Linked DNA regions of Saccharomyces cerevisiae S288C. Changing the gene in region 1 together with any one later gene gives a genetic interaction. Each region holds a gene or a part of one and is shown in the gene's direction. Other genes may lie near its edges.

Region 1 (11,365 bases):
GGTACAATATTCTTCAATGTACTCTCTAATATCGAGCACACTGGCAATATTCATGCACACATTCGCCTAATGCTGACGAATGCTTAATCAGTGCAATTACTGCCACCCTCTTGATATGTGGGCTAAATCCTTTAGGACCTGTAAAAAATGCAATCACGTTTTCACATTTTTTTTTTTCTTGCGGAATTGCGGAATTTCCCAGTTGGCAGCGTTATCCGATTTGAGATCGACTTGCATCAACCTTTGAAAAATATAAGGATGAGAAAGTGAAATCGGTTTTTTTTTTCCATTGTCGTCATCAACATGATTTTTTAAATAAATAAATACGATTTTTTATTTTTTTTCCCTTCTTTGTTTTTGTTTTGCTTATTCCCATCTTCATTATTAAATTCTTCCGCTCTTAATAAAGGAGTTTTTTTATTATCTTCTTGTGTAATCATCCTTTTTCTTTAATTTTCTTCCTTTTCTTTTTCTCTTTACTGGTTTTTTTACTTCTTTATTCTCAACCATCTAAAGAATATTATTGCTTTCTACCAATAAAATCTGTTAATTCTATTTGGATTGTCGTCTACTCAAGTCTCGCCTAGTAAATAAACGATAAACAAATTTGAAGTAAGAATAACAATATAGGGAGAGAAATTTTTCTATTTTTAATTTCGAAACAGGTACCAAAAAATCTAAGTTCACTTTAGCACTATTTGGGAAAGCTTTTATATAAAAAATCTGAAACAAAATCATATCAAAGATGCAATCTCAAGATTCATGCTACGGTGTTGCATTCAGATCTATCATCACAAATGATGAAGCTTTATTCAAGAAGACCATTCACTTTTATCACACTCTAGGATTTGCAACTGTGAAAGATTTCAACAAATTCAAACATGGTGAAAATAGCTTACTATCTTCAGGGACTTCCCAAGATTCCTTGAGAGAAGTTTGGTTAGAATCTTTCAAGTTGAGTGAGGTTGATGCTTCTGGGTTCCGTATACCACAACAAGAAGCTACTAACAAGGCTCAAAGTCAAGGTGCTCTATTAAAGATTCGTTTAGTGATGTCTGCTCCAATCGATGAAACTTTCGACACCAACGAAACCGCCACAATCACTTATTTCTCTACTGATTTGAACAAGATTGTCGAGAAATTCCCAAAACAAGCCGAAAAATTGTCCGATACCTTAGTGTTTTTGAAAGATCCAATGGGCAACAACATCACCTTCTCAGGCTTAGCTAATGCAACCGATTCCGCTCCAACTTCCAAAGATGCTTTCTTAGAAGCTACCTCCGAAGACGAAATCATCTCTAGAGCTTCTTCCGATGCTTCTGACTTACTAAGACAAACATTGGGCTCTTCTCAAAAGAAGAAGAAGATTGCTGTCATGACTTCTGGTGGTGATTCTCCAGGTATGAATGCCGCTGTTCGTGCCGTTGTTCGTACAGGTATACATTTCGGCTGTGATGTTTTTGCTGTTTACGAAGGTTACGAAGGTTTACTAAGAGGCGGTAAATATTTAAAGAAAATGGCTTGGGAAGATGTCAGAGGTTGGTTAAGTGAAGGTGGTACTTTGATTGGTACTGCTCGTTCTATGGAATTCAGAAAGCGTGAGGGTCGTAGACAAGCTGCAGGCAATTTAATTTCGCAAGGTATTGACGCTTTGGTTGTTTGTGGTGGTGATGGTTCTTTAACCGGTGCTGATCTTTTCAGACACGAATGGCCATCTTTGGTTGATGAATTGGTTGCAGAAGGTAGATTCACTAAAGAAGAAGTCGCCCCATACAAGAATTTGTCCATTGTTGGTCTTGTCGGTTCCATCGATAATGATATGTCTGGTACTGACTCTACCATTGGTGCTTATTCTGCTTTGGAAAGAATCTGTGAAATGGTTGACTACATTGATGCCACCGCTAAATCCCACTCCCGTGCCTTTGTTGTTGAAGTTATGGGTAGACATTGTGGTTGGTTGGCCTTGATGGCTGGTATTGCTACCGGTGCCGATTACATTTTTATTCCAGAAAGAGCTGTTCCTCACGGAAAATGGCAGGACGAATTGAAGGAAGTGTGCCAAAGACACAGAAGTAAGGGTAGAAGAAATAACACAATTATTGTCGCTGAAGGTGCTTTAGATGATCAATTAAACCCTGTTACTGCCAATGACGTCAAAGATGCTTTGATTGAATTGGGTCTAGACACCAAGGTAACCATTCTAGGTCACGTTCAAAGAGGTGGTACAGCTGTTGCTCATGACAGATGGTTAGCTACTCTACAAGGTGTCGATGCTGTTAAGGCCGTTCTGGAATTTACCCCTGAAACTCCTTCTCCATTAATTGGTATTTTAGAAAACAAGATAATTAGAATGCCATTGGTTGAATCTGTGAAGTTGACTAAATCTGTTGCCACTGCCATTGAAAACAAAGATTTCGATAAGGCAATTTCTTTAAGAGACACAGAATTTATTGAACTTTACGAAAACTTCTTATCCACTACCGTTAAAGATGATGGTTCCGAATTATTGCCAGTATCTGACAGACTAAACATTGGTATTGTCCATGTTGGTGCCCCATCTGCTGCTTTGAACGCTGCCACCCGTGCCGCAACTCTATACTGTTTGTCTCACGGCCATAAACCATACGCTATCATGAATGGTTTCAGTGGATTGATTCAAACCGGTGAAGTGAAGGAACTATCATGGATTGATGTCGAAAACTGGCATAACTTGGGTGGTTCCGAAATCGGTACGAACAGATCTGTTGCTTCAGAAGATTTGGGTACCATTGCTTACTACTTCCAAAAGAACAAGCTAGACGGTTTGATTATTCTTGGTGGTTTTGAAGGTTTCAGGTCCTTGAAGCAATTGCGTGACGGTAGAACCCAACACCCAATCTTTAACATTCCAATGTGTTTGATTCCAGCCACTGTTTCTAACAACGTTCCAGGTACTGAATACTCACTTGGTGTTGATACCTGTTTGAACGCATTAGTCAATTACACTGATGACATCAAACAGAGTGCTTCTGCGACAAGAAGAAGAGTCTTCGTCTGTGAAGTCCAAGGTGGTCACTCTGGTTACATCGCTTCTTTCACTGGTTTAATCACTGGTGCTGTTTCAGTGTACACTCCAGAAAAGAAGATCGACTTAGCTTCTATCAGAGAAGATATAACTCTATTAAAAGAGAACTTTCGTCACGACAAAGGTGAAAACAGAAACGGTAAGCTATTGGTTAGAAACGAACAAGCTTCTAGCGTATATAGCACTCAATTGTTGGCTGACATCATCTCTGAAGCAAGCAAGGGTAAGTTTGGTGTTAGAACTGCTATCCCAGGCCATGTTCAACAAGGTGGTGTTCCATCTTCTAAAGACCGTGTCACCGCTTCCAGATTTGCTGTCAAATGTATCAAGTTTATCGAACAATGGAACAAGAAAAATGAAGCTTCTCCAAACACTGACGCTAAGGTTTTGAGATTCAAGTTCGATACTCACGGTGAAAAGGTACCAACTGTTGAGCACGAAGATGACTCTGCTGCTGTTATCTGTGTTAATGGTTCTCACGTTTCCTTCAAGCCAATTGCTAACCTTTGGGAAAACGAAACCAACGTTGAATTAAGAAAGGGTTTTGAAGTTCACTGGGCTGAATACAACAAGATTGGTGACATCCTGTCCGGTAGATTAAAGTTGAGAGCTGAGGTAGCCGCTTTAGCCGCTGAAAACAAATGAATGATTGCAATGAAAAGTTTAAGTTAAGCAAAAGGAGGTAAAAATGGCATGCACTTTAATTTTTATACAATCGTTTTTTTGTCATAAGACTTATTTATGTATCTGTTGTTTTTCTTTTTCTATCCTCTATTTTTGTCTATTTGTCTTTGTTTTACTCTTTTTCATTATTATTTCTTTATATAATTTTTGTACGATATGATACACATAACAATGAGCAATGAACATATTTCTAATCCTAACCATTAGATATACTTTTCAACTGAGGAATAATGGCGCCTTGATTAAACTAAGCTATGGAATTTGCATTATTCAAGTTTTAGGGTGTGCTTAATCTGCGTTGACAATGGTTCACGAAGACGACATCGGCAACTTTGCTGTACTACAAATTGCTCTGAATGTGAGGCTGATCCACATCATAGTGAGGCGCGCTACCTTAATTGTAGTCGTATTGTCATCGGTCTACGAATACCGTTTGGTTTATTTGTCGGCCTTTTTTCTTTCCGTTTCTTTTTATCTTTCCGCTGGAAAAATGGAAACTAGTGCCGATAATCGGAGATGGGATGACTAAATATTTCTTTAAGGCATTGGCAATGTTCAAACCTCTGATAGAACGGCAGATATATATTTAAGAGAATATAGTCAAGGTTGACGCCGCATACTTTGGTTTTGTTTCAAAAAGAAACAGGTGAAAAATTATAAAGACCAAACTAGAATACCATGCCCAGTGTCTGCCATACAAGCCCGATAGAAAAGATTATCCAACAAGGGCATCGCATACAGAATGATTCCTTAATACCGTCAAAACGCACCAAGCTGGCCCATACGGAATTAACAGCACACTATGCCACTGAAGACTCGCATGTGGAAAAACACTTTTTGCATAATGGTAGTAATTTTGACGGCATTGACAATGTAAGGTATCAAAATCAACCCTCTCCATTAACCTTCATTACTCCAAACAACACTGTAGATTCCAGTGATTGGGTTCCGCAGTTCTCGTCTATGAAGATTGACGATTCACTAGAGTTTAGCTCAGAATATAAAAGGTTGTATTCCAATTACGAGTCACAGCAGCGCCTGAATTCAAGCAGACAACACTTACCTTTTAAGAATTGTATGATAAGGAAGACAAGTTGCACTTACCCACCTCAAAAGACGCTTCGACAGCAACGCCAAGGAAACCGGGACAACCCAACGGATGCGTTTCAATTCGACGCGGAGTTCCAAGTTTTGGAGAGAGAAATTCAAAAAGAGCGGTACGAGCCCATAACACGTCGGGACGAGAAATGGTTCGACCAAGATCAGTCGGAACTGCAAAGGATTGCCACAGATATAGTAAAATGCTGTACTCCACCGCCTTCGTCTGCATCCTCCTCTTCTACTCTTTCCTCCTCTGTCGAATCAAAACTATCTGAGTCGAAGTTTATTCAGTTAATGAGAAACATTAGTAGCGGTGACGTGACTTTAAAGAAAAATGCAGATGGAAATTCCGCAAGCGAGTTATTCTCATCCAACAACGGGGAACTGGTCGGAAACAGGCACATTTTCGTCAAGGACGAAATTCACAAAGACATACTTGATTGATATAGGCAGTTTCTACAATTGTACCTCTTGTAACTACTACATACGTTGATATATGTTTACAGATAGCTAAGAATATCAAAATCATGAATATGTGCCCTTATGTGTTCTCTGCGCTGAGGAGTATCGCAGCTTCACTCCTGCAGATGCATGCCCTACCTACTGTCATGCCCATCTCTCTCGTTTAAAACTTACTACACCTTTTTTGTGCATGGATTGTGCTGATGTAAGCTGCACGAAATGACACGCTTGTGAATTTTTTCTTCTCTTGGGAGAAACTGTGAAGAAAAAAAAAAAAGCTTCGCAAAACCCGAATTAGTCTCGAAGGAAGTAATTACCTTGTGAAAGGGTCTTTTGGGATACTAATTTATTATGAAGTTTGGTTTTGGTGTTGCTTGCTCTTTTTTTTTTCAATTTTGAAATGCGTACACGTGAATTTTAGCATAGGTTGTAACAAAAAAAAAAAATGATTTGGATGAGGCAGGCAACCCCTTAAGTAGCTATGGTACCTTTCAAGCTGACAAATAAGGTACCTACGGACACGGGACCTTCTCTGATTTCAGCGCAAAGTGTACCCAGACCAATAGTTTTTATGGATAATCGAAACAATACGCGAATAGTAACACCTACGCTACCTCCAAACCAGCATAGAGGCATATCAGGCGCGTCGACTGCTCTTCCCTGGTCTCCAGAGAGTAAGAATACAGGGAAGTATATTTGGAATAGGGTCAAACTAAAAAACTCTCCGTTTCCCCGTTATCGACACTCTTCCTCATTTATTGTTACGAATGATAACAGGATTTTTGTGACCGGTGGACTTCACGATCAATCGGTATATGGGGATGTCTGGCAAATAGCCGCTAACGCGGATGGTACGAGCTTTACTTCCAAGAGAATCGATATTGATCAAAATACACCTCCCCCAAGAGTGGGACATGCCTCTACTATATGCGGTAATGCCTATGTTGTGTTTGGTGGCGACACACACAAGCTGAATAAGAACGGACTGTTGGATGATGATCTTTATCTTTTCAATATTAATTCTTATAAGTGGACCATACCACAACCTATCGGCCGTAGGCCGTTGGGCAGGTACGGCCATAAAATTTCTATAATTGCTAGCAACCCTATGCAAACTAAACTATATCTTTTTGGCGGACAAGTAGATGAAACTTATTTTAACGATCTGGTCGTCTTTGATTTATCATCATTCCGTAGGCCGAATTCTCATTGGGAATTTTTAGAGCCTGTCGGCGACCTGCCTCCTCCTTTAACAAATCATACAATGGTGGCATATGACAACAAATTATGGGTATTCGGCGGGGAAACTCCCAAGACAATAAGCAATGATACATACCGCTACGATCCAGCACAAAGTGAGTGGTCTAAAGTTAAAACCACAGGAGAAAAGCCTCCGCCAATACAAGAGCATGCTAGTGTGGTGTATAAACATTTAATGTGTGTGTTAGGCGGTAAGGATACCCATAACGCATATTCCAACGATGTCTATTTTTTAAACTTATTATCGCTAAAATGGTATAAGCTTCCCCGTATGAAGGAGGGCATACCTCAAGAACGCTCTGGACATTCTTTAACCTTAATGAAGAATGAGAAGCTTCTTATCATGGGTGGCGACAAAACTGACTATGCCAGCCCAAATATTCACGATCTACAAACTTCAGAAACTGACCAAGGCGAAGGAACTTTACTGTATACCTTAGATTTATCATCTTTGAATGAGCTATGCCCAGGAATAATGTGTGAATCACTACATGCAGGAGAAAGTTTTTCTAATAGTCTTTCCGGGGGCTTTACACCCTCTAAGTCTACCGAAAGTGAAAATCAAGAGATAATAAACATTCTTACACCAAGATTGCCTGATAGCAAAGTTTTGAGTTATAATGATATTGATGAAGGGGCTGGAAGTTACTCCAGCGCTTTGGATGATAAGGCATTTGAACGAAAATCAGATAGGGAGGAAAAGAAACCCCAATCTTCCAAAGTTGATTCAAGCATCAATAAGGAAAGTCCGGGAACTGGTATCAAAGTATCTAAAAAAAATTTCCCTGTTCTACGAGGACTAACAGTGGATTCAGAAGAGTATGGCTCTTCTTCATATAAGGACACATCATGTCAAAAAGGAATTCCCAAAAATCTTTTTGATGATTTAAACCTGAACCTACAAACATTACGTCTCGAAGCTCAACAAAAGGAACTTGAAACTGCTAGACATATTTCACAATTAGAAAAGGAAGTCCAGAGACTCATGGTAATAAAAGAAGCTTCAAAAGATTCAAATTTTCAAACAGCACGGCTTAAAAATCTAGAAATTCAGAAAACCTTTTTAGAATCTAGAATTAATGATTTAAAAAATTTATTGATGGTCAAATTATCTCAGGCAAGTAAACTCTGTGACCAAATTACGATTCAAAATAATGGACTTAAAACATGCTCCGAACATGTCACTATTAAAAGGGATATCATCGATCTTGAGAATAAATGTGATGTTTTGAAGCGCCAGAACGAAATACTTGTAAATAATATGCAAAAAATAACCCCCGAACTTCATACCTATTTGAACGAATCGTCCTGCTATCTGGGTAAATTATTAAAAAGCTATCCTACCAGTGCACGGCCACCTTCAAGTGAGAAAGATAATCAAATATATGAGAAAGATTCGCTGAACAAAATAGAAAAAGTAATAAATGAAATGCACGAAACCGTGCGTGCTAAAGAGAAATTGCACCTTGAAACTCAGAAGCTTAATGATGAAAGAGATTCTTTGCGGGCTAATTTACTCGACAATAACAACAAGTTGGATGCGCTAAGAAAACTCTCTGATGGAAGCTCGAAGTCTATGGACCTAACAAAGAAGGCTATTCACCTATCACAATCCGAGCTCGAAAAATATCGTAAAAACAACGACGATTTACAGAAGGAGATTGATAGAATTAAAACTGAACAAGCTGAACAGGATGACAAGCAGGAACAGCGTGGCGCCATCACTCATGGAAATTTTGATGCGTTCCACAGAATGAAAATCAACAATCTGAAAGCGGAACTGTATATGTCGAAAGAAAATAGAGATTCCCTCAAGGACGAACTGCTAGCTTTAAAAAAAAAACTATATACTCTCGAACAAAAAAAATAGTCATTGGAAGACGTTGTTACGCACTGGGAAGTCAATATGTACAAAGTATATAAAAATATATTTAAACACCTATAAGGACATTGTAAACATTAAGTATTAATAGAAGGAGAATATAATTGCCAACTAAGCCTTTTGAGGTTAATATTCAATGGTGCAAAATTAGTAGCCGCGGTTATTATTATTCGCCGGGTAAAGAGCCCGCTTTTCTAGGGGGATTTTAGGTGAGCATGCCTCTAGAAAGCCAGAAGGACCCTTAACGAAGCGAAACTGTTCAGAAGAATGAATAAAAAGACACATTGAAAAAAAGAATATTGTCGCACTGTACATAAGGGAGAAGCTGTAATCCCTGGCAAACTGCTAATATCTAATAAAAATAATAGAAGATGTCATCTGCAAAGACATTTACTAAGCATATCTCGTTTGATGATCTGGCACCTTCCTTAATTGATGACCAAGCTACCATTATTAAAAATGACAGTCACCATGTTGGCTTGAATAATCATTTTTTACATATACCTCCACAATTTAATCCTGTTTACAAAAATACTTTGACCGGTAGCCATGGCTCTAATGACCTTGCCACTGACGAAAGCTTGGACTCACCCGAAGACGAAGAAGCTTCTTCGCCACTACAACTAGGAACTCCAACGTCTACAACATCTGGAGTTCCTCACTTCTATACTCAGGTATTTTCTCCTGCAGCACATGATCCCTCCAAAAGCTATTTGAGATCGCCCAGCGTTGAAAGAAGTAGAAGTGAGTCTCCAATGTTCAGGTCAAGAAGAAGGACTTCAGTGAGGTTGCCTCCCCCTCCAAAAGTATCCGTGCTAAAAAAATCTCGAAAAGCTGCTGATGAACAGGGCCCTATTGATGATATTGATATTGGTGATTTGGATTTTGAGCTGGAAAGAAAAATGACCAAAATGACCGAAAGAAACACTCAAAAAAATTCTGGATCAAGGAAAGGCTATACGCAAGCTGCATTTGCCAATCTTAATGAAGTTGAAGATAGAATTGAGACCAAGTCAATGGTAGATTTATCCGAAAGCGAAAATATGGAGAGCTCAAAGAAAAGGTCCAAGTCGTTTGCCGGGATGACAGACGAAGAATTAGCCAAATTAGAGGAATTTTATATAAGTAAAGGAAGATCGAACAAGACTAAAATAGATCAATTTGATTTTGGTGAGCAAGTTCCAGTCTATTTGAACACAACAGAGTCAAAAACGGATTCAAGCAACGTGACGGACCCTTTAGCAGCAATTTATCCATCAAGGCCTACAATTGTTCACAATGCAATTTCAATGACAATTGATCATCCAGACTATGAAAATTATATTTCCAATACAAAAGAAAAGCTCAATTGCAAAGACAAAGATGACGATGTAGATTTAAGAGTTGTTTCGTGTTATATATCAGGTAGGAGATATACTTGGTCATCTGTGGACTGGTATGTTGAAAATTTGACAAGAAATGGTGATCATTTAGTCATAATTACTACAATTCCTGAGTTTGAAGCAAAGATTGATACTCTAGCATATAAGGAGAAAAGAAGGCACCGCTTAGAAAGGATGACTAGCAATACTAGTGAAAGCATGACTACCGCGTCACATAGCCTTATAGGCCCGGATCTCTCTAGTCCTTTATCAACGGGAATAAGAATAGAAGCTATTCATAATGAGGCTAAGCAAACTTGTAGCGATATTTTAAATTACTACGCGAGAAGATTGGCAACTAAAATAGTTAGGATTAGTATTGAGATGGTAAAAGAAAATTCAACAAGATCAGCCATAATATCTGCGACCTCTCTGTATAGGCCAAGTTTGCAAGTAATCAGCACCGTTAGTGCCAACATTCAAATCAAGTTTAGAAATGGAAAAGTGAAACTACCATTTTTTTTAATGAAACACTTTGCAATGCCAGCATTTGTTGTCCCATTCGAATTCATCAAGCCTGAGCTTTTAATAAAACCTAGAGTGGATAAAGATGAACAGGACAACAGCGATGATTTGAAAACGGAAGTGAGAAAAAAGGAACGATTGCAATGGCTAAGTGCATTAATCAGGAGAACTTTGGAAAACCCTTTCACAAAACATAAAGTGGTTGATTCGGATGATGAAGAAAGCGATAGTGATGAGTCAGTAACCTCTGTAAATGAGTACTTCCCAATCTCACCTGAAAAAAAGGAAGAAATGGAATTCTTCGATAAGATGGGATATGTTAGACCAAAACCGTCGAGACAAGTACTATTGGATGATAACACTCTTATGAAGTACGACAGTTCTGGCCGAAAGCTAACTCCTATAGAATCGAGAAATTCGAGGCGCAGCTCAAAGCGGAGTTCAAGAATACAATTCAACAATAACGGCATTTATAAAGTAAAGTCCATGGTTGATGACATTTACAACCACGAAACTGCCTCTACGCCTCATATCAAGACAGCACTAAAATGGGACAATGAGGATCCGAAAATGAAGTTCACTTCACATCCAATGAGAAAAACAAAATCCGCAGGGCTATCACCCAGAACATCCTCCACTTCATCTTCTTCAGGACAGAGAAAAGCGCATCACCACCACCATCACCACAACCACGTTTCAAGGACGAAAACTACCGAAAGCACCAAATCAGGCAACAGCAAAAAGGACAGTTCCTCATCCTCAACAAACGACCATCAATTTAAAAGGTCTGAAAAGAAGAAAAAAAGTAAATTTGGCTCGATCTTCAAAAAAGTTTTCGGATGAACCGGATTAATACAAGTAAAATCAGCAAAGATATAGAAGACAAAATAAGCGTGAAAACAATCATAAACCACTCACAACGGGGGTTTTCAGCTGTTACTCCTCCATACATACATTTTGATAAAGATATAATGTTATATTTCTTTTCGTAATTTTGTTTTACTTCGGTTTGCTCTATAGATTTCA
Region 2 (7,688 bases), on another chromosome or scaffold:
GCCTCAAGTCGTGTTCTGAAAATCCACCGGGGAACTTGATAGAGGTTGGATATACCCAGCCGCTTTCCTTATCTGTACTCGTAGCACGGAACCTAACATGACGTTTTGGGCTCTGCACAGAAGAACCAATAGATATCAGTTTGTTTTTTTCAGTAATTGACCAAACTGTTACGGTGACGTTATCATGATCTCGAGGAGTAGTGAATTCAATTGCTAAAACAGAGTAGTTTTCGCTCTGAAAACATAGGAAATTCCATTTACTGGCTGCTTTATTCGGCAAAAGACCTTGAACAGCGTCCAGATAAACGACAGGAACATCAGTTAATGAAATATTTTTATTTTGAAAGTCCCCACTATTGAGTTTTTTATCGTAGGAAATATTACCATTACATTTACCTCTGGGCACAAAAACATGTCTGATCATTTTGTCTGAGGAAACGAATTCGTCACTCATCGAGATTTGTTTGTCAAAATAATAATTGCAACCGTTGGGGTTCATCTTAAAACCTTGAAACAAATCCACCAACAAATCGATTTTCAAATTTTGAATTGTATTGTTACATGTTGGTAAATCACATTTGATAGATAACTGGCCAATGGAACCTAATTTTTCATTTTTGTTGCTCAAAAATTCAAAAATAACATTTCTAGAGACAAACTTTAATGGTTGAAATTCAGCTATGTCATCCAATTTAAAACTTTCCCAAACGTCGTAGTCAGTATTATTACTTTCTGAGCCAAAAACCTTGAAATTCAATTGGAAGCCTTTATAGATACCACCCATAACCGTAGAATACAGTAATTGAACAAATCCACACAAGCCTGTATGCAAATCTGTGAAATATAACGTTTGGGTCTCGACTCTGGTCTCCATCGATTTTTTCATCACTCTGAATAAACCTCTACCACCATCTGTCTTGTTACTTATGGTGTGTTGGTAGCCCGTTTCACTATCATTGTGACAATACCACTCCAATGGTTGGATGTCATTAATAAGAGTATAGTTCTTACTCTTACTTACCGGTTTTTTGTAATCTACCTCTTTAATAGGCGCAAACTTTATCTTATCACTGCTCGATTCAAGCATCACTAAATGAGTCTCTATGTATGTACGATGTATCTTATACGCCCTCACTGTCAAGAAAAGACAATACGAAGTACGGCGGCAATTGTCACTCAAGAAATTTCTTCATTTTTATATGACTATACATCGTAAACTCAAGCCCAGAGAAGTGAGTCTCCAGTAAACACTGTTCGTTATATCCATCACATTTAAAATCCGTAGGCTTAAGATTGCCAAAACATATGCATACAAATTCCAGTAGTAAACATGATTTTGGAATTCACTGTAATAATCTGTGAGACATCTTGGAAACCGGAAGAACAAAGATGAGAAAAAAAAAAAAAAAAAAATAAAAGCCGCATAAACATCGGCTAGACGGAAAAATTAGCATTACGTCTATGACTTAGTTCTCCGAAAAAAATACAAGCCGTGTGGGGTGATTACGCCGTACCCTTCTTTTCGCGTTATTCCAACAGGTCGTACAGAACTATCAGTATTTGGAACGATATACTTATTTATCGTCTTTTCGCGTTTTGGCCGAGGGAAATATTGCTTTTGTTGCGGAAAAGAGTATCACGGCACAGCATCGGCCTTCCTAGTTGTTTACTTACTAAAAAAGCCTAACTACTCATTTTCCAGTCATTCACTTAAATTGAACTTAGGGGGCTCGTATTCGAAAGTCTTGTTGCAGCCTAGAGGACCAACGACATCGAAGATGTAGTTGCACTTAGTCGCTTCATGTACACTCCGAATCTTGAATTTGTCGCTGCACCGAACAAATACAGTAGCCGATCTGCGCGGACCATTCCAGCACTGGTCTCCATTTTCGTATTCTAGTACCAGACCATTATTCAGTTCGTTTAAGTTCCCGAATACGTAATGTTGCATGTTACCGTCATCGTCCTGTATAGCTGCTAAGTTTGAAATCAAATCACTCTTCTCATCATATGTGGCCTTTAAATGTTCTGCGTATTTTTCCATGTTTAAGTCAACATTAAAACCTGATGTCTTAAAACGACCGATCAAAACTTTTTTACCGTCAACCTTATCCTCAGCTTGATATATGACACCTTCGGTCATTGGACGTTGAAAGCATATAGTGTACACATAGTTGTCCAGTATGTCGTCAAGACAATAGGATTGTGATCCCATTAGTTCTAAAAGCTCAGTCAGATTTCCTGCAGTAGAATTAGTTCCTTCATCTTCAGTTTCATCTAATAATTTCTTATAGTCCATTTTTTGCTTTAATTCATTCTCCAGGAGACTGACTTGACTTTCACAAGAGCGGAATCTCTTCTCTAATGAGACCAAATCTTTTCTAGATGAAAAAATATTCAGCTTAGATAGAATCTCTTTGAGTTTATTGCGCAAATCTCCAGAAGTACCGATATGATCGCTGTTCGTATCTTGTTCTGACTCAACAGCGTCTGGTGGCAATACCTTTGGTGCATTCTCGTTCACAAATGATGTTACTTCGCTCAACGATCTCAAAAGGCTCTCTGACGGGTGAGCTGGTTCTAATTCAGCCAGTTCGCCGTATTCACCTAGGTAGTTTTTATACGAATCGACAGCACTTTTGACCCCTGCATCTTGAAAGTTAACATTGTAATTCTGAGAAATATCATCCATAATCAAACGGAATTCTCTGATATACTCCAAGATATCGTTGGTATAGTTAATTTTACCCTCCACTAGCGCTTGAACAAAATTGGATTTTCCTATGACGTACCTCAACGTGTTCTCAGATTCTCTTTTCAAAAAAATTTGAGGTACTTCTTCTGTAAAGTACAAGTAAAGATTATCTGCCTGCTCATCATCAATTTTGCTATCTGCATTAATTTTAGCCTTTTCAGCCCGTCTTCTAACTTTTCTGAATTTTTTAATATTATCATTGACAACTTTATCATTTAGCGAGGGAGTATAGGCCTCTGATAAATCACTTAAAATCTTGAATATGTCCTGGTAACCTTTACTTACTCTTGAAACCATAGTGAACGATGTAAGGATGTCCGATCCCAAACGAGTACTGTTTAATTGTTCAAATTGATACAAAATGGGATCATGGCTTAATTGGTTAAAGTACTCGCCTCTCAACTGCTCTAATTTGGCTCGATTTTCTGAGAGCCTGTTGGAGAGTACTTTTATCTCGGCAGAAGCTTTTTCCTTATCTTCTTCTAAGCAATTACCACGGGTGATAGCCTCTTCCTTTGTACCGTATTTTCTTTCCAGTTCTTCTAGGGCCTCTTTACCTTCCCGGTAACTTGATAACTCTTTAGAGGCCATAATGTCAAATTCGTTTTTTAACTGAGAACAATTAGATCCAGCATCAAAGAGCTCATATCCAGAAAGTAGCTCGTCAGAACAGTCACAGCAGTCACAAATACCATCTGCGACTTCCGATTTTCGTATATATCTTGGAATAAACCCCTTGTTATCACAATAAAAATACTTATTCACTTTACCACCTCCCTCTGCAACGCTTTTGAATATATCTTCCACGCAGGCGGCGCTGCCGGGCTCATCTGAACCATCAGGACAATCACAAACCCCATCATTAATCTGGCTTATATCCAATACGATATCTTCGTGGTTCAAACAGTGCCATTTAGTCAAATCTGGTTCATTCGAGTCATACAAGTGCTGCTTTTCCCAGGGAACACCCACTATATGCCGTTGACTTTGTTGCAATGACGCTACAAGCGGCGATTGCTCAATTAATAGCAGAAATAATGAGAACATGCTCACCATAGCGAATCTTCTTAATGAAATAGCAGAAGTGCCTTTATGCTTCTTAAATGCAGTGCGGAAGCCTCTGCTTCTACCATAACATCTTCCAACACAGTCTTCATACACTATTATTATTCATTTTATGGCCGGGTAAGTATTTTAAAAGGCATTGGCAATACCCGTTTTGTTTTGACCCAAACAACTGTTTATCATTATTCCTGGTGCTGTCTTCTTAGAAACTATAAACGCTTGTGCACCTACCCAGTATTTAACCAGTTGGGAGGAGATAACAATATTTACTTACTTTTTCACAAAATAGGAAAAGGAAAGTTATACTTTGCTATAGTTTAAACAAAGGGAAAGTTTTCAAATAACCAAGGAGTCTCTGTTACTACTTGCTAAATATCCTCATACAAAATATCAAAACAAATTGGCCAAACTGCACAAGGAAAGTTCACTTTTGTTCCAGAATTAGTTATAGTTCCTTCAACCACATAGATGACATTATTTTCTTGTAGTGTACAGATGCCGCTGGAGGAAAGGTCCCTGACAAACTTACCATTAAACCTATTGTTCCGAATATTGTCTCACCTGGATATGAATGATTTACAAAACATAGGGAAAACTTGCACCTTGCTAAGGATGCTGGCGAATGAGAACATTGTTTACAGAAATGCTGTTATCGGCTCAAACGGGAATATGTGGTGGACAAAAAATGTTCTTGTTGATGTCTTTGATGTTTTGAATTTTAATAGAAAGGCAATGAAAACCTTAAATAGTCACAACATATCCCTGGTCGCATCATTAAGAAATGTTCAGCGGAAATATAAACTAGGCGTTATTGATCCGGCTAGAAAGACAATAAGTTATAGAACAAATGAAGTTGAGAGCAAAGAAAAGGGCTCTGTGAAAGATTTAAATATGGATTTGAACGAACCTACAGAAATAACAAGGGAGCAAATCGCTCATACTGCAATACTACAAGGAATGAATCAATTCATCGAACTCAATGATAAAGCATTTAGGACCCATTCAGCGGATTCTGATGATACATACATAGAGGAGAATAATGGAGAAATACATTCTCTCCACGGATTGGAAAAAAATACAACATTTGAAGAAGACTTAGTCAAAAAGCCACCTTTTATCCCTTCTCCGACATTTTCTAATTATTCTAGAAGTTCAACAAATTCTGTATTTTCAAGTTCATCGCCCAAACTACTGGACGATGATTGGAATAATATTACAATGGATTTCACTAAGTCACGAGATCCTGATTATAAAGAGATGACGCCTACATCTACTGAATCGTCTGACTCAATCACAAGATTGAGAAAATCTAATAAAGTCAAGGATAAAGCCGAACTTTTTGAGAAGTTAATTTTTAGAGATAGCAGACCATTAAAAACAAAGAAAAAGGACAATCCAAGATTGAAATTATCCAGTTCGTTAAGTGCTAATGACGAAGATTTTAGGAAAATCATAAGTCCCCCTTCTGACATACTACCGAAAGTTGGCAGAAGGAGCGTCTCAAGAGGTTATTTAGAGGAGATTGAAAGGCATTATCCCGATTTTAACGGTGAAACAACTAATCCTCTAGCAATTAAAAGAGTCAACAGTACAAAGATAGCAAATTATGAACAATTAATTATAAAAGAAAATAGCTCGAACTGTAAAGGAATAACAGAGAAAAATGATGAAAATAAATTTCAAAGAAGTCACACTTCCCCAGTAATAGAATTATCCAAACCTCATCAAAGAAGCAAATTAAAGGCGGTTGTTACAGACGGTAATAAGATATGCTATCGCAAAATCGAATTGGATAACCCTAGTGGGTCGAATACGAATGATCATGTAATCAAACGGCTTGACGCTAATACCGATTTTAATATATAACAGAAAACGCCTCAAACCGACTTTGCTTGGAAGAGTTTTCTCTGAATTAGCAACGGAACTTCGAAATGGTTTTAGACAAGCATGCATGGTATGTAGAAACAGTTAAAGAGCGCCGCTACCATTTGCACAGATGTACATATAAATAAATGACTTATTTTTTATATTCTATCAATAATAAGACAATTTGTGGTTGCCTTTAGAAATTTCGTGGCTTTTTTTCATATATTCTAACTTCAATAAAGTTTTTTTGATGCGAAATTTGATCGCTCATATTAAGGACGCCTGAAAAAGACATGCGTCTACATTTTGTGTCATTCCCATAAGAATAGTAAGAACAGGCATTTTTATAAATCGATACAAAAAAAGAGCTACTATACGTACATAAAGTCAGTAAATAATCAAATGTTCCCAATGAAAGATCACTCAGCTCTTGAACAACATACTCTCAGCAGAGATGAGTTAAGACGTCGCAAGGGTTACAAGAAAGGACTGCAGTTGTCAATTTTGTTACTTGGAGAAAAAGGCAGCGGCAAATCAACGTTTTTAAACAATCTGTGCGGTCAGGATATATCGCTTTCTGATGGGGATTATGATGATGATGATGATAAAGTGACAAATAATGTAACACCAGAAAATGGAAACGCCATCGAAGATATAGATCCTGGATATAAAACAGCCCATTTGAGTCCTGGGCTGAAGCTTGTCACCAGAAGAGTGTATTTGAACGATGAACTAGGCGTACCCATAACATTAGATATCATATTGTTTCCAGGCTGCGGTGACAATGTCGACAATTCACAAAGCTCTGTTGTTATAAAAAACTACTTAGACCAACAGTTTGCAAATGTTTTAAAAGAAGAGGTCAGAATAAAGAGAAACACAAAAGAAACTGATGGGAGGCCTCATGTTTGTTTATACTTTCTGAAGAGTACTCCAAGAGGAGTCAAAAAATTTGATATTGAGTTAATGAAAACGATTTGTGATAAAGTTAATTTAATTCCCATTATTCCAAAAGCCGATGGTCTCACAGAAACTGAATTAAATTTACACAAAGACATTGTGCGCCAAGAAATCTCTCAGAACAATATACGTGTTTTTGATTTTAAAAGTGACACCCTAGGCGAAACATTAGCTCTGTACGATATGGACATCGATTCCAGTTCAGCAAAATCCAAATACGATAATGACACGAAGATCAAGGAAATATCGCCATTTGCCATTGTTTGCAGCAAAACTTTTAATAAAAATTCGGAAAATAGGGTTGAGCATATCAGAACGTACGAATGGGGTAGCTTGGTGGTCGAAGACCAAAACACCTCCGATTTTATATACTTAAAAGCAATACTGTTAGGTTCTCACCTTCAGGAATTAAAAGATGTAACAAACAACGTATTGTATGAAAATTATAGGGCTAAAGTGTTAACTGAGAAGAAAAACAACTATGATATTCCAAACTATAGCTATATCGACGAAACCTCAAGGGGAAGTGTCAGCAATGTTTCCACCAGAAGAAATAGTGCAAGTAGAACACTTGGGAATCCAGATACAAACGATGAAAATGCTTATCAAATACACAAAGAAATAGACGAAAAAAACAGAATTATTGAAGACTATCAAAGGAAGATTGATTTATTGGAGAAAATGTTGGCAGCTCCCCATCAAAATAAGGTCTAAATAAATATACGGCCTTGTTAGCGTTAGATACATATGAAATAAAATTTTATTGCTTTTTCAAGTGCACTAAAGTATAAGGCAAAATTTTTTTAATCTATAATATACTTTCTCGATGTGTCTCTATATAACCTTGTGTCTTTCTTATTACTGGCACGGCTTTGAATTTTCAGAGTGCAGTTCTGATTAAACACGCGAGGATTTTTGTTCGTGGATATTTGCAACGATGAGCAATGTGAAGTGAGCAAGATAGAGAAACGCCATAGAAAAGAGCATAGTGAGAAAATCTTCAACATCAGGGCTATGTCAGGCCAGTTAGTTCAATGGAAAA

The links. Genes that interact genetically often act in the same process or in processes that back each other up.
Region 2: mutations in YGR237C (region 1) and SPR28 together harm fitness more than expected from each alone (negative genetic interaction), as found in Saccharomyces cerevisiae (one large-scale study listed by BioGRID).

What each region holds. Positions count from the first base shown.
Region 1 is NC_001139.9:963,115-974,479, reverse strand, and holds YGR237C (uncharacterized protein), read left to right. Parts: upstream 1-8,824; coding exon 8,825-11,182; downstream 11,183-11,365. Other genes in the region: PFK1 (6-phosphofructokinase subunit alpha), read left to right, coding at 746-3,709; PEX21 (Pex21p), read left to right, coding at 4,427-5,293; KEL2 (Kel2p), read left to right, coding at 5,793-8,441.
Region 2 is NC_001136.10:903,453-911,140, reverse strand, and holds SPR28 (septin SPR28), read left to right. Parts: upstream 1-6,088; coding exon 6,089-7,360; downstream 7,361-7,688. Other genes in the region: YDR222W (uncharacterized protein), read right to left, coding at 1-1,087; GTB1 (Gtb1p), read right to left, coding at 1,703-3,811; MFB1 (Mfb1p), read left to right, coding at 4,289-5,686; chromatin-binding protein RAD9, read left to right, coding at 7,661-7,688. UniProt on the Saccharomyces cerevisiae protein: Septins are GTPases involved in cytokinesis that assemble into filaments and form a ring at the cleavage site. May act by recruiting MYO1 and HOF1, a protein involved in septation, to the site of cleavage.